Oryctolagus cuniculus: one gene and its partners. The protein of the gene in region 1 purifies or fractionates together with the protein of each later gene. This does not show direct contact. Links are inferred from orthologs where the notes say so. Each region holds a gene or a part of one and is shown in the gene's direction. Other genes may lie near its edges. The genes, in order: TMEM43, BZW2 and ENDOD1.

Region 1 (4,670 bases):
GAGAGGGAGTGGGACAGCTTTCGGGTCCAGGGAAGCAGCCGTTCTACACCCAGGCAGAAGTCCCGCGGTAAAGACCCGGCATATTTCTTTATTCATTTTCGTTTCTAACATTTTACTTATTCTCATCTACTTGACAGAGAAAGGTCTTCTTCCATCCACTGATTTCCCAAATGCTGGCCAGAGGGGGCCAGGCTCACACCAGGAGCCAGGAACAGCCTCTGGGTCTCCCCCCAGGGGGTGGGCAGGGGCCCAAGTACTGTAGCCACCAGCCGCTGCCCCAAAGGCGCATTAGCAGGGGGCTGGATGGGTGGCCACCCTCTCTGGGCCTCAGGACCCATAAGTTAAACTGAAGGAGCAAAGCTGTTCAAATTTCTGTCTGAGTGCTAACTCCACAGCTGTGCATCCGCTGCAGCCCACCAGCCGCTCCCCCGGCACCGAGAACGCGCCGCCGAATGAATGAGGCCCGGCGCCGGGGGCCTGGCGGGGTCGGGGGTCCGCTAGGGCACAGGGACCCCGGTAGTGTGGCGAGGCCCAGGGACGGCTCTGGGGGGCAGAGCAGCAGGGCCTCCAACCCCGGCCCCACCGGCTTGGCCGACTCACCTGCGTCTCGGTTTACGGCTCCATAAACGCAAGCGCAGAGCTAGGAATATGCTCCAACGGTGCAGGGGGCGCTTCCCGCGCCCCGACACCGCACACGCCTCCGTGGAGGGCCCGCGCGGGGCGCGAACAAGTCGCCGCAGCACAATCCCACCTGCGAGCCCAGCGCTCGCTTCCCGGGCGCCCTCCGGGCCTGGTCTGCGGCTCTCCCACGTGCAGGCCCCTCCGAGCTCCGGGTTCAGGCTGCACCGTGACCTTGGACCAGCCCCGTTCTTCCCAGAACCCCGTTTTCTCTTCTACACAACTCCATGTGGCGACCCCGCCGCCCGGTCAGCCCCGAGGTGGGCACCCCCCGACCGCGCCTCGGGGAGCCCTCGCCGGCCGCGGGGGCCACAGGGGCCACAGGGGCCGCAGGAGCCCGCGCGTCTCCCACAGGCCGGCGCAGCCCGCTCTCCCTACCTTCCTGCCGGCAGTAGGCCATGGCTGCGGCCCGGCGACTCGACCTCGCACCGGCGGCGGTGGCGACGGTCACGCCGTGACCTCCCTCTACTCAGGCAGGGCAGACAGACGGCTGTGAGGCCCGCGCAGACCCGCCCCCTCCAGGCCTGCCCGCCGCGCGCCTGCCTCCGCGCCCTCGCAGCGCCAGCCCGGCTCTCCTCAGCCAGAAACTACATTTCCCAAGAGCCTGAGGGGCCCCTTGGCTGCCCTCCAGAAGGTGGGAACTACATTTCCCAGGAACTCTTTGCGGCGCGCAGGCGTGCCAGTGAATCTCGGGCGTATTGCTACTTTGTGAAGAAAATGCCCGCCGCTGGTTTAGCTGCGCGCATGCGCAAAAAAGTTGGGGTTCCCTCGGGGCGGGGACTGCGTAGCAAGTTGCTCCTGATCCCGGGCTCCACGCGGAGTTGTTCGGCGGTAGGGCAGCGAAGAGGCCGCGAGACTCTGCACTCCGATCGTCCTCCGGACCAGAGCGAGTGGGCGGCCGCGACTCGGGCCCCAGCATGGCGGCGAATGTGAGTGCCTCCCGGTCGGCCGGGCCACACCCAGGCCGCCCCGTCTCCCTGCTGGCCGCCCGGGTCTGAGGGGCTGTCCGAGCCTCGTCGCAGTCTCGTCCGCTGTCGCTCGGCCTGTCCGTCTTGCTCCCGTCTCTGTCCGCTGTCCTCGGCGCGGCTCGCCTTGCGGGGCGCGGCTGCGGGGAGCGGGGCTCGGGAGGGGTCGCGCCCGCCTCGGCTTCTCCCAGGCCCCGCCTGGCTCCTCGGGGGTCTGAACCCCGCGGCACTGGAGAGCCGGGCGCGGCCTCGGGGAGGGGGCCGGTCCGTCGCGGGGGCGGGAGGCGGATCCCGCCCGCGGGGAGCTGTCCAGCGAGGGACAGACCGGGCAGAGAGCGAGACCCCCGCCCAGGGGCTGCGATGCCGCAGAGGGGCCCGGGCCGGGCGGGGAGGGCTGCAGAGGAGAATCGCGTCCCTCGGCCCGCCCTCCACTCCCCTCCCCTCCGCTCCCCTGCGCTCCCCTCCTAGCGGATTTGGTCGGAGGGGCCCTGGCCGGGGATGGCCTTCAGGGCTGCCAGCCTCTTTGCAACCTACAGAACATTCATTCAACAAACCTCGCCCTCCTGCCGGGGTGTCGGCTGTGCGAGAAGCTGGTGACTCACTCCCTTGCTCTGTGGAGCCAGCTCCAGCACCCTGCCAGCCCAGACCCGCCCTCCCGGGCCTGTCACTCTCTCTTGCCAAGGCTACTGCTCTCCCCAAAGGGACCCCGGGAGGCCAGGGTTTGTGTCGCCCCTTGCCCCTGGCACAGTGCCCTAGAAAAGGCGGGCGGAGGACCGCCAGGGCAGACGGTTCCAGGAGACCCGCCTGGCCCTGCAGCAGGCGGCGCCGCCATCCATGGAGTTCACAGATGGGGAATTTGCAGAGCAGGGGAAGGGACCTGCCCAGGGTCTCACGTCCACCCTGGCGCACACCAGGACACGGGAAGGTGCTGAGGACTCAGGGAGACCTGGGGGCACACCCGCTCTGTAGCTGTGTGGCCCTGCGCTCGCTGGATCTGTGTTTCTTCACCAGCTCAGCACAGAGCCTGTTCCCAGCACCGAACAGCAGGTGGTTCTCACAGCCTTAGCGCGCCTGGCCCGGGTGTGTCACCAAGAAACGGGGGTACCTTTGGGCCGCCTCTGCCGCCAGGCTCTTGCTGATCTGCAGAGCTGGGGACACGTCGATGGCAGCCACCAGGACTTTGTCGCGCATCTTGCTACTTTGTGGAGAAAATGCCCGTCGCTGGTTTAGCTGCACGCATGCGCAAAAAAGTTGGGGTTCCCTCAGGGCGGGGGAAAGATCTGAAGAGTGGGGAGAGGGCAGCATTCGCTATGACAGTAACTGTCCCTTGATGAAGGTAGTGACCCCTTCTGCGTTTCCTAAGTGAGTAGGCGGGGGGGGGGGGGGGGTGGGGGGTCAGAGAAGCAGAGCAACTCACCCAAGGTTGCCCAGCAGCCGACCGGCCAAGCAGGCGCTGTGAGTCCTTGTTCCCACCACTTGTTCAAGCAGCTGAGCCTGGAGTGCCCGAATGTGTGTGTGTGTGTGTGTGTGAGTGTGTCACTGGGAGGAGCTCATTTGCATACCTCCTCCCTGCCCCTCCTGAGTGTGGAGTGTGGGAAATTTGGTTCAGAACCTGGGCTGGGTGCTGGGTGTGTCTTGTCACTACCCACCTCCCTCCAGCCTGGCAGGGAGCCTCCTGGGCCTCTCTTCCTTCCCTCCAAGGCCCTCCTGGAGCCCTTGATGCTGGCCACGGGGTGGCCCAGGAGGAAGCCATGCCTGCAGCTGGCACCCAGCGTTCACCTCACATTTCAGCCCCAGCACTGAGTGACACAGACGTGAGCTTCGTGGTAGAAAAATCCAAAAGGCCGTGAGATCTGGGCAGACGCCGAAACTGCTGAGACTTGGTTTTTCTCACCGGTGAAATGGGGCATAGTGAGTGTCTGTCCCCCGGATCTTGCCCACACCTGGCCCATGGTAGCCTGGCAGGTCTGCATCGCCATCCTTACCATGGCCAATGGTCAGCGACCCACCTGCTGACAGAGTCCAGCAGTGTATCTGTTGATACCGGAAGTCAGGTTGTTTCTGGGTGCTGTGGACACGTGTGGTTCCAGGCAGGCCTGGGCTGCGGTGTGCAGAGATTCTGATCTCAGTCTCTCCTCGGACTGGGCGGTGGCAAGGTGGGGGGCCTCAGGCAGCAGGAGCTCCTCTGGGAAGCACTTTCCACCCTCGTGACCGCTCTTGGCTCACCCACAGCCTTGCTGCCACCCCGTCGGATGCAGAGACCTCTGATAACAGCCCTGCTAATGAAAACCCACAGGGCCCTGCAGGGCCCGCTGTGCTCAGCAGCCTGGCTGTTACGTCCTTGGCTTCTCACCGCAGCCTGTGCAGTGGACCCCTGTTCCCACTTTACTGATGAGGAAGTGGAGGCTACAGAGGGTTTTCATTGCCTGGCCAAAGGCCCCTGGCCGGTGTGTGGCAGAGCCTGGATGGCTAGCCTTCCTGGTTGGCGGGGGACGCACTGCAGACTGTGCCTGGGAACTTGCCCAGACATGCCTGTGGCCCTCATGCTGTCCCACGCCCTCACAACCCAGCCAGGCAGACGGCAGCTGCTCCTGAGACACATGTCCTGCTGCCACACCACTGCTCACCTGGGCCCTCTGCTGGGCAGGCCCTCCCCACACTCAAATGCCCCCTCCTCCTTGATACCCCAGAAAGGACCAGGTGCACCTCTCTCACAGGATGACCACCAATCTTATGGCTATGACTTGAGTGCCCTCAAGGCCCAGGAGCAGTTCCGGAAGCTCAGCCCCTATTTGTTAAATGCAATAAAGAGTACATCCCTAACAAGCTTCATGTACTACAGTTTGGCAGTTCCTAAAAGGTCAGGTATGACAGACTGGGCTTTGTGGCCCCGTGGCTTAAGTCACTGCCTGGGACACTCCCCAGGCAGCATCCTGGCTGCTCAGCCAGCTTCCAGGTAGGGTATCCATGGAGGCAGCAGCTGGTGGCCCCAGTACTCAGGCCCTGCCACCCATGTGGGAGACCAGA
Region 2 (4,919 bases), on another chromosome or scaffold:
TCAAAGGCACAGGTCTCATTTTGGCTGTGGCTTTGGCTTTGAAGTCCAGCCTATTATTTCTTGGACCTGTGGGCCACAGGACACCTCAGCCCTGCAGCCCTGCAGCTTACCCGTCGTGCACTCTCAGCACATGGCCCGACTCTCCGGTTCCTGGGACTGCTTATCTGTCAAGCAGGGATTACCATACGGATGGCAACAGCAGCTGCCACGCTGATTTGAATGCTCTGCCTATAAGGACTTCATCCTCACACCCTAAGGAGACCTCAGCAGTACTGAGGTGCCCACGGCCACAGCACCACACAGGGGATTCAGGCAGGATCCCCAAAAAGGACCCGAACAGCTAGCCCCTCTCAGAACATGACAGCTTAAAAATCATGGTTAGCTGCTCAAAACTAGATGCATGTAGAGTATGCAGAATCCCACCTGGCTCATGAGGTTCAGCAGGTGCATCTTGTGGTTGCTACTCTGCTCCCATCTCACACTGCTCTGAGAGTTCAGTGGTGTCCCAGACTTTCCCTGACACCACCTGCACCTCACTTCTTTTCTCATTAGCCTGTGCCAAGCAAAGGGACCACAGACACACACACGCGCACACACACACACTACGGATGCCCCATGTGACTCCCAGGCCGCCCCACTTCCTGGCACATCCAGCCCTAACTGGAGCAGAGACACCCTCACCTGGCTTCCCAGCAACTCCAAAACCCACCTGCCACACCTGAGACCTCATCTCTAAGACGGCTTGGCGCCTGTCACTGTTAATAAGCGAACACGTGACCCACAGCTCTCGCCTGCTCTGGTCCCTGATGGACTGGGGCGGGGCAAGGCACAGTCCTAGGCCGGCACTCACGCGTGCTGGACCGAGCCCTGCAGCCCCCAGGGACAGGAGACAGCCCACCAGGTCGGGGAGGACCCAAAGCTGTAGCTCGGCAGGCTAATAAGGCTGGAGATTCCCCACACCGGGGCTACCCCAGACCGGGAGGACTCAGCTCGTTGGCCCCGGTGGAGTTCAAATCCGGCCTCCATCGTCGCGGTGGAGCCTCCATCTGCGGGACCCCCTGGCGCAGCAGCCACGCCCCCCGACACCTGCCAGGTGCGGGCTCCTCGGGCCCGGGGCGCAGCGGAAGCGAGGCCTGGGGCGCGCACGCAGCGAGGCCTGGGACGTGGGAGCCCCGAGTTACGGCTCTCTCAGCCCCCAAAGCAAAGTGGAGGAGAGGAGGTGGCCCCAGACTGCCCCCGGAAGCAGCCCGAGAACCCAGCAGGCTGCGGAGGCCGTGTGTGCGGCTCACCCCGCGGCCCGGGGGGCAGCGCAGACCCAGGCCGCGAAACCCCGCCTTCACCCGGCCAGAGCCTTGCCCACGTCGCGGGGTACCCCGGCCGGGGCGCCCCCCACCCCGGGGCTCCGCCACGCCCCCTGCTAAGGCCGCGGCGCCCCGCTTCCCAGCCCCGCACCCATACCTTTCCCGATGGCCTCCAGCAGCTCCTTTTCCTCCGGAGTCAGCTCGCCTTTCTGTATGTGAACCATGGCTGCCGCCAGCTTGAAGGCGATCTTGCTCCTGGGCAAGCTTCAAAAAAAAAAAAAAAAAAAAAAAAAAAGCGAGGCTCCGTCCGGGCGAGCAGCAGCGGCGGACAGCGGAAGCGCCCCACTCCCTTCTCCCTGCGGGGCGCGAGCTCCCGCGAGCCCCGCCGCCGGCACCGCCCCCCGCGTGTCATTGGCCCGGACTGGGGGAGGAGCCGCAGGAGGCTGCTTCCAGGGACTCCGATTGGAGCAGCCCGAGCGGGCAAAACCAAACGGAGAAAACAGGAGGGGGGACAGGAAATTCTTCTTGCACGTTTCCGCCCCCTCTCTATTAGGTTCAGATACCTGGGGACGCAGCGCGATGACCATTCTCTACCTAGCAGTGCTGTTTCCCGCTGTGGCTTTCCAATGCGTGAAGACGCCTCCTGCTTCGGCTCTGCAGCGCACGGCATCCCCCGGGAGAGGCGCAGTCCGGCAGAGGGGCGGGCCGAGGGGCGGGGCCTGGCGGGAGGCGGTGCTGCGCTGGGTTCCGTGTGTCTATGTCAATGTGTCTGTCCTTCATTCCTCCATTGTCTGCCGCCGCTGCCAGAAGCCGCCGCAGCCCCCGGCCTCGCGCGTCGTCGCTACCTCCTCGGACAGGTGAGAAGCCAGCCCCGCGTGGGGACCCAGGCGCCCGGGGCCGGAGCCGGCGTGCGGACGGGCGCGTGTGCCTGTGCCGCCGGAGCCGGAGCCGAAGCCCCGCGGGCGGGGACCGCGGCTCGCCCGGCTGCGGCCGGCCACGGGGCGGGCGCACGTGGTCCCGCGCGGGAAGCGGCGGGCCGCGGAGGGCGCGGGGGGCAGGGGCCGGCGTGCTGGGGAGGCGGCTGCCTTCGGCCGTCGCCCGCCCGGGCCTGTGCGCCCGCTGCCCGGCTTTGGAACTAGCCCCGGGGCCCTGCGCGCCGCGGAGGTGCCCGGGTCCCGCGCGCTCCACGGACCCGGGGCAGGAGGGCCAGGGACGGGGTCGGCGGCGCGGCTTCCCCTCTGGCCGCTGCCTGGGTGTCGTGTGCGGGGGGCGGCCTGCTAAGGGCTGGGGGCCGGAGTCCAGAGCCCCCCACCCCACCTCACGGGGTGCGTGTCCGCCGTGCCCGCGGCCTCCCTTGCAGGCCGCCTGGAGAATAAGCGTCCGCGCTGCCTTGCAGCCTTTGCTCCAGCCCTGACCGGCCGAGTCCGGACAGACACGCGTCAATCACGACGCAGACGAGCGAGAGACAGACGTCAATCACGACGTCGGCGGCTTCGCTCTGGCTGGCCCGCTGTGCCGCGTGCGAAGTGCAGTAGAGCTCTTTGCAGCTTCGCTGGTTTCTGATTTCCTGCCTCCCCCACCCCCCCAAATCTCCCGCACACCAGCCCTGCTCCCCTCCCCCACCGAGGCTTTGCTGCTGCCCAGGCTGGGGGTGCGAAGCCAGGACCAGACGGCCTGAGATCATTCATCTCTGCGCGTAACAAAGAAAGTTTTTGTCCGATGGTGCTAAGATAATCAGGCGCCTGTTCTGCCCGGGGGAAGGGAGGGACCGGGGCTGGGTGACACTCTGAGCGTCCTGGGAGGAACCCCGACCGAGCCCGCAGGTGCTTCCCGCCTGGATTCCAGCCCTGGTGTCTTCAAGGTCGCACCTGTTTGCCTCCCTGGGGCCGTCGGCTCCCCGGGGATAGGAGCTGAGTTACCTCTTCCTGCCTTGTGACACCTGACTGGTTCTGAGCCTCTCTTGTGGCTTAGGTAAATGTGGACTCAGACATGTGGACAGGTCAGCTGCTCCATTTAAATTTCTGCCATCATGGAGAATGGTTCCTTAGATGGGTGACGTGAATAGCTTTGTGCAGTCTAAATATTTAGTGTAGGGGTGAGAGTCACTAATGAGCATATTAAACCGTGCTCAGATCTAAGGAGTTTCATTGATAATAAAATAGCAGTGCTCAGCCCGCGCCAAATAACTCTACCAGATGCTTTGCACAGGATTATTTTAATCATCGTTATAACAACCCAGGAATTAGCCAAGATGATTTTCATTTCTGCAACGAGGAGGGCAGAAAATAGGGAAGTTAATTCGTTAGTCCACAGCGCCACAGCTGACAAGTGTCAGAAGCAGGATGGGAGCCTGGCATGGCACCTGGGTGCCAGGCAGTGCGGGGAGGGGGGAACTCTATTATTTTGAGGAGCTGGTGGATAATGCCTCCTTGTGGTTTCGCCAGGGGAGCTACAGGCCCCTCCTGCCTCCTTGCTGCCCCACAGCCAATGAGATTTATTTTTTTCATATTTTGCAGAGCTAGTTTATGTAAATATATATATATACCCACCATTTTATTTATTTTTACAGAAATTGGAGCCTACTGCCACACTTGTGTAGCAGAATTTGTATGATGATGCTCTTGTTTCTTCACCTTGTAAAGAATACTGATTTCTTATCAGTATGTCTTATCACAAATTTCATATCAATTTCAGAATCAGTGTGTCTGTGTCCCCTCCTCTGCTCCTAAAGACTGCCTTAGACCCCTGGCATTCCAGTCCATTATTTTTTGTAAATATTTATTTGAAAGGCAGAGTTACAGAGAGGGAGCGAGCTTCCATCCACTGGTTCACTCTCCAGGTGGCCACAGTGGCTGAGACTGGGCCAGGCCAAAGTCTGGAGCCAGGAGCTTCCAGGTCTCTCTCACAGGTGCAGGGGTTAGGTGCTTGGGCCATCTTACTATGCTTTCCCATGTGTGTTAGCAGGAAGGTGGATCTTAAGTGGAGCCGCCGGGACTTGAACCAGCATTATCACAGGTGGCAGCTCAGCCCACTGGGCCGCAACGCTGGCCCATCAGTGGATTCTTACACCCCCTGTTCCTCTGCCACCTCTCCCCATGCAGCTAACCCAAGGAACTCCCAGATCAATAACCATGGAACACCCTCTGGCCCCAGAGTGGAGGTTCAGGTCCGGCCAGCCTTGCTGTGGCCTCTCCCCTGCTGTGCTCTGAGGTCACAGCCCTGCTGGATCCCTACCCTGCTGGTCATTCTCACCCCCCTTTGTTCCTGCTGTGCTCTTCCTGGAAGGACCTCCCAACCCTCCTCAGGAAGTCACTGCTTCCCAGAACTGATGGCTGCTCCTTGCTTCCTGCTCACCTCTTCTCCCAGACTGTGAGAGCCACGCACAGGGATGACAACTGGTCCCATTGTGGACAGCATCTTCTAACTCAGCCTCCCGCCTTGGTCCCCCGAGTTCACACTGCTTCTCTGGGTTGCCAAGGAAGTGGCTCGTGCAGGCTCTTCTCACCCATGTATCAGCCAGGTCGGGGTGGCCTCTGATTCTCAAGGTGTAGTGTCTTGTCCCTGTGCTGTGCCCAGTACATGCTGAGTTGAGTCCATTTGATCCCTAAGTTATTTTAG
Region 3 (4,828 bases), on another chromosome or scaffold:
AGGCCTGGGAATTAGAGCGATCTGCTTCAAGTCTGGCTCAGGACTTGCCTGCTGTGCCATGGCAGGCAAGCATCAACACGCTCTGGACCTCAGTGCCCCAAGCGGAACACTGGGAAACAGGATTATGTGAGAAGCCCTTAGTGGGTGCCCTGTCTCTGTCTCTTCTGCCATACTGTCCAAGTCACCATCTCTCACTAGGGGTTATTGCTTTTTCATGTCTTTCCTTCTTTCATTCTGGACTGGTCCTATGCACCAGATTCTGTCCAGAAAGCAAATATGATTGTGTCACCACTGTTGTAAGGTCCAAATCCTCCATATTACCTATGATGGAATAAAGTAGACTAGAACAGAAATGAGAGATGGCGAAGCCAATTGTACGCCTGGGTATTATTCCACGAAACTGGTTTTCTCACTGTGGGTCTTGTCAAGCAATATTTGAAGGCCTCTGGCCTATGATTCCCTGGAGGATAGGAGCCCTGCCTCCTTCTTTAGCCCCATTTCCCATAATCTTCCCCCAGTTACCTGCTGCGGATCCCCACCAGAAGTCTTCCTGAATTCCTCCAACACATCACCTTCCTTTCTGCCAGGGGAATCCCATAGCACAGTTCAGTTCCTCTCTGTTATGTAATGATCCTCCAGGTCTCAGCTCAAATGCTACTGCTTGAGGCAAACCTTCCCATACTGTATTCCAAGCCCCACAGGCGCCGAATTCTCACAGCGGCGTGGGCAGTTTGTAATTAGTCCTGTAATCGCGTGCTTCTTGGGTTCACGACAAGCCCGTCGAGTGGGGTGCTGTCTTCCTGACCCGGAGGACCTGTTCTTGTTGGTCCCTGTCGTAAGCCAGCACGGAGCCCAGGGTGGCACGTGAGCATTCACGGAGAGCAGTGAGGACGGAATCCCCTAGCCTCTCAATCCTTGGTGGTGGTCTCCCTTTCTGGATGTCAGTTTGGCTTCTCATCCTTGCACCTAGCCAATCACGGCAGGGCTGGGACGGTCGGCCTAGGTTTGGAACTTCCGCTAACGGGATCCTAGCTGGGATGTCAGGGCTTCTGAGTAGCTTAAAACAAACAAGCAAACCAAACATCAGGGTTGTCTACGGAGACGGCGGCGGCCGAGCAGTTCGGTGGGGAGGAGAGATTGAGCTTCATCAGCTTTCAGGAGGGACCGCTGCTCTTTAGCTTCGAAGTCCGCACAGCTCCGCGAACCCCTCACGCGGCCCCTCTGCATCCCCGAGGGCCCCTGCGGCGCGCTAGACCAGGGGGTTTCTTGGCGCCCAGCCCCGAGGACCGTCCCCTCCCAGCCCCTCGGACTCGCTCGGTCAGGCTCCAAGCCGCCGCTCCTGCCGGGGACGCGCTCGCTGCTGCAGAGAGCAGGGGCGCGGCGGCAGGTGTCCCGCGCCTCCAGGCGCTGCGGCCGCACCCCGGGGCGCTGGTCCCTGGCCTCTGCTGCCATCTTCAGCGAGGGAGGAAGGGCGGCAGGGGCGCGGCCTCCGTGCGCGGACCGCCCCCGCCGCCAGGGCCGCCCCGCCCGGCTGGCCGAGCGCCGCGCCTGGGTTCCGACTTCCCCTCAGGCCGAGCCGGGCGGCATCGCGCGCTCCCCGCCCAGCCCGCAGAGCCCGCGCCGCGGCCGTCCCGCCGCGCTCGCAGAGGCCGCCATGGGCCCCGCGCGCTGGCTGGCTCTGGGTAGCCTCCTCGCCCTGGCCCGGCTGCTGGAAGGCCGGCTCGTGGGCGAGGACGAAGGTGGCTTTGGCGAATGTGACAAGTTCTTCTACGCCGCGACCCCGCCCGCGGGGCTGTCGGCCGAGTCCCACGTGAAGATCTGTCAGCGCGCGGAGGGCGCCGAGCGCTTCGCCACCCTGTACAGCACCCGCGACCGCATCCCCGTGTACTCGGCGTTCCGCGCCGCGCGCCCCGCGCAGGGCAGCGCCGAGCCGCGCTGGCTGGTGGAGCCGCAGGTAAGCGAGGTGGCCCCCGAGCCTGGCCGCGCCTCCAAGGGGGCACTCCGGGAAAAGCAGCTTCCACGCCCTAGGGGGCCTGAGGAGGCACCCCGCCGCGCCCCGGGAGTTCCAGCCTGCCTCCCCCATGCCGAAGCTGCAGGAAGAGCTTGGCGACCTGCGAGCTTTCGGTGAAGCGACTGGGGCGGGAGGTGCCCCGTGGGAGGCGTTCTCCCTCCATTTGGGCGCGGACATCTGCAGTGTCTCACTCGTTTCCTGAGTAGTGAGGAGCTTGAGATAGACCCAGGAGAGCGTTCTGATCCGCAGGAAGCCCAGGCTGGGCGCCCAGAGGCCTGGGCAGGCGTCACTTGCCGCATTCGGGGGGGGGGGGTGTAGGCGGGTGGGCGTTCTTATGCCCACTGTGCAGAAGAGGGAGTGCGGGTGGGTGGGGCGAAGAGCCTCGCAGAAGCCCACCCTGCTGGTAGGTGGGGCAGGTCTTTTGGCTAGAAAGTCGCTGTCCTTTCTCCTAGGGAACGCTCCCCTTCTGCGGAGCCCAGCCTAGCAAGGGCAATCCTTCCCTCTATTAGATGTGAAGCTGTGTTGAGCTAGAACAGCAAAATAAAGGCACAGGTTTGGGGGAATGTAGTGGGAAAAGTGGTAGGGAAACATTGAGTACCTTCCGCTGATGGGAAGACCAAACCAGTTTTTCCTGATGTTTCATATCAATATCTGTACTATCAGATCACTTGCCAAGCCTGTCACCTCTCCTGGTGTTCTGTCCCGTCTGGTGCTGGTGACCAAACACTTGGAGAGGCTGCCCTGCTGAACCTGCTAGCCTACTCTTAACACCCCCTGGCTCACCTCTGCCCAGCTGGCCTCTTCTCTGCAACACCCCCAGCTAGGCCCCCTTCAGCCTCTGGCCAGTCTCTCTCCCTGCCCTCATTCCTCATGGCCACAGCTGCCCAAGACCACACCACACTGGCCTTCAAGGTGCTGCCTCCAGAGCTGCCAGCTATGAGCCCATTCAGATATTTCGAGCTCTGAGATCTTAGCTGGATCTCCAACAATCCTCACCTGATTGCCTTGCCCTCTCCGCACCCTTCATGTGCCCTGCCTGTCGACATCAGAGGCAGTGAGATCTGGCATGCAAAGCAGACTGTAACTTATGCATACTTCAGATAGTTTTTTTTAAAGACTTATTTATTTATTTGAGAGGCAGAGTCACAGAGAGAGGGAGAGACAGAGAGAGAGGTCTTCCATCTGCTGGTTCACTCCCCAGATGGCCACAAGGGCCGGAGCTGGGTCTATTGAAAGTCAGGAGCCAGGAGCTTCTTCCAGATCTCTCATGTGGGTGCAGGGGCCCAAGGACTTGGGCCATCTTCCACTGCTTTCCCAGGCCATAGCAAGAAGCTGGATTGGAAGAGGAGCAGTCAGGACCCGAACCGGCACCCACATGGGATGCCAGCACCACAGTTGGAGGCTTAGCCTACTATGCCACAGTGCAGGCCCCCAGACACATTTTAATCTAAAATTATTCTTCCCCTTGCAGTGCAACCCAGCTCCTTGGGGTATGCCCTGTGATTGTGGGCCTGTGAAGAAAGTGGGTGGCCTGATCCTTTCTCCTTGAGAACCTCACAGGACTGCTCAAGGAGACAGGATAGAAGTGTGAAGAAGTCACAAGACTGCAGATTTCAGTTAGATTCAGAGCACATTTAGTAATTACCTGCTGTATGCCAAATATTTAGAAAACTGAGCATAACTGCACATCCCCGGAGCTTCCTAGCTTGCAAGTAGAGAGGTGCCATAGCACCTGGTTAGAGTTGTGCTGTGTGGGTTCAGATCCCAGATCCTCCACTAACTCTGTACACTAGGGCAGGTTAGCCTAGAGACAACAACAGCGTGGGATGGTTGTTCGAATTAAAAGTGTTAATGTTATGAAATTCTCAGAGAGGCAGCCAACGCACAAGTGCAAGCTGTCGTGACAAGCAAAAAACCGTACTTTAATAAAGGTACACAAAGTCTTATTAGATTTCCTTTGTATTGGAAGTGATGGGGGAAATCTTCTGGTCAAGATGATATTTTTGCTGTGCCTGGAAGGATAAGGCAGAGTTCAGAAAGGAGACAAAAGGAGGGAATTTCAAGCAGAGGGAACATCACCAGTGAGAAATGCATGAGTGATTCAGGGATGAGTGTGTGGGGTGTGGTTGGGACAGGTGAGCAGATTGTAGCCTATTAAGTGTTCCGGACACAGGGTGGTAATGGAAGGGAGGGGCGAGTAGGGGAGGCTCAGGGAGGCAGAGCCATTCATTCAGTTTTTGAAGGGGTCATCAAGGAACACTACTTGGCGGAGAGAAGTGGAGAAGAACCAAGTCACCAAGCAGTGGAGACCCTGGACAGAATAATGAAAAATGGATCAGGAGGAGGAGGGGAGTTGTTCCAGATGGTTCCTGGGCAGAGAAGTATAGCAGTTTTGGCAAGTACAGGAGTCCGGAGTCTCCCCTCCACCTTGCTGGAGAAGCCAGAGTGGCCGCTGATGCTGAGCCCTGCAGGATGCTTTCCCTGGGAGCTAGATGGGCTCCCGCCCCGCCCCGAGTCGCAGGGAGCCAGGGATGATGAGGTGGGAGGTGCACTGCAGCAACCCTGACCCCTCCTCCCATCTGCTTCCAGAAGCCTGCCTCACAGCCAGGAGCCCCACTACAGAAGGATGCTCGGGGCTCAGTGCTTACTTCTGGCTGCTTCCAAACAGTTTGGAATGCTGAGTCGCTTTGTGCCCACATCACCTTTTTATAAAGTCAGCATTACCAAGAGGCGGGGCAGACAGAGGAGGAAGGGCAGGTGAACAAAGGCGCACCAACAATGAGTCAGGCAGGCTGCACCGACACTGGGATTCCGAAG

The links.
Region 2: the proteins of TMEM43 (region 1) and BZW2 purify together in Homo sapiens (affinity purification with mass spectrometry; 3 studies listed by BioGRID and IntAct, counting the BioPlex papers as one, with this or other methods). This does not show direct contact. The link is inferred for Oryctolagus cuniculus from reciprocal best matches to the Homo sapiens genes TMEM43 and BZW2.
Region 3: the proteins of TMEM43 (region 1) and ENDOD1 purify together in Homo sapiens (affinity purification with mass spectrometry; 3 studies listed by BioGRID and IntAct, with this or other methods). This does not show direct contact. The link is inferred for Oryctolagus cuniculus from reciprocal best matches to the Homo sapiens genes TMEM43 and ENDOD1.

Annotation. Positions count from the first base shown.
Region 1 is NC_091441.1:113,066,506-113,071,175, forward strand, and holds the start of TMEM43 (transmembrane protein 43), read left to right. Parts: upstream 1-1,346; 5' UTR 1,347-1,595; coding exon 1,596-1,607; intron 1,608-4,670. Other genes in the region: CHCHD4 (mitochondrial intermembrane space import and assembly protein 40), read right to left, coding at 1,057-1,078. UniProt on the Homo sapiens protein: May have an important role in maintaining nuclear envelope structure by organizing protein complexes at the inner nuclear membrane. Required for retaining emerin at the inner nuclear membrane.
Region 2 is NC_091447.1:8,254,812-8,259,730, forward strand, and holds the start of BZW2 (eIF5-mimic protein 1), read left to right. Parts: upstream 1-1,880; coding exon 1,881-2,158; intron 2,159-4,919. Other genes in the region: ANKMY2 (ankyrin repeat and MYND domain-containing protein 2), read right to left, coding at 1,459-1,525. UniProt on the Homo sapiens protein: Translation initiation regulator which represses non-AUG initiated translation and repeat-associated non-AUG (RAN) initiated translation by acting as a competitive inhibitor of eukaryotic translation initiation factor 5 (EIF5) function.
Region 3 is NC_091432.1:86,429,891-86,434,718, forward strand, and holds the start of ENDOD1 (endonuclease domain-containing 1 protein), read left to right. Parts: upstream 1-1,537; 5' UTR 1,538-1,654; coding exon 1,655-1,954; intron 1,955-4,828. UniProt on the Homo sapiens protein: May act as a DNase and a RNase. Plays a role in the modulation of innate immune signaling through the cGAS-STING pathway by interacting with RNF26.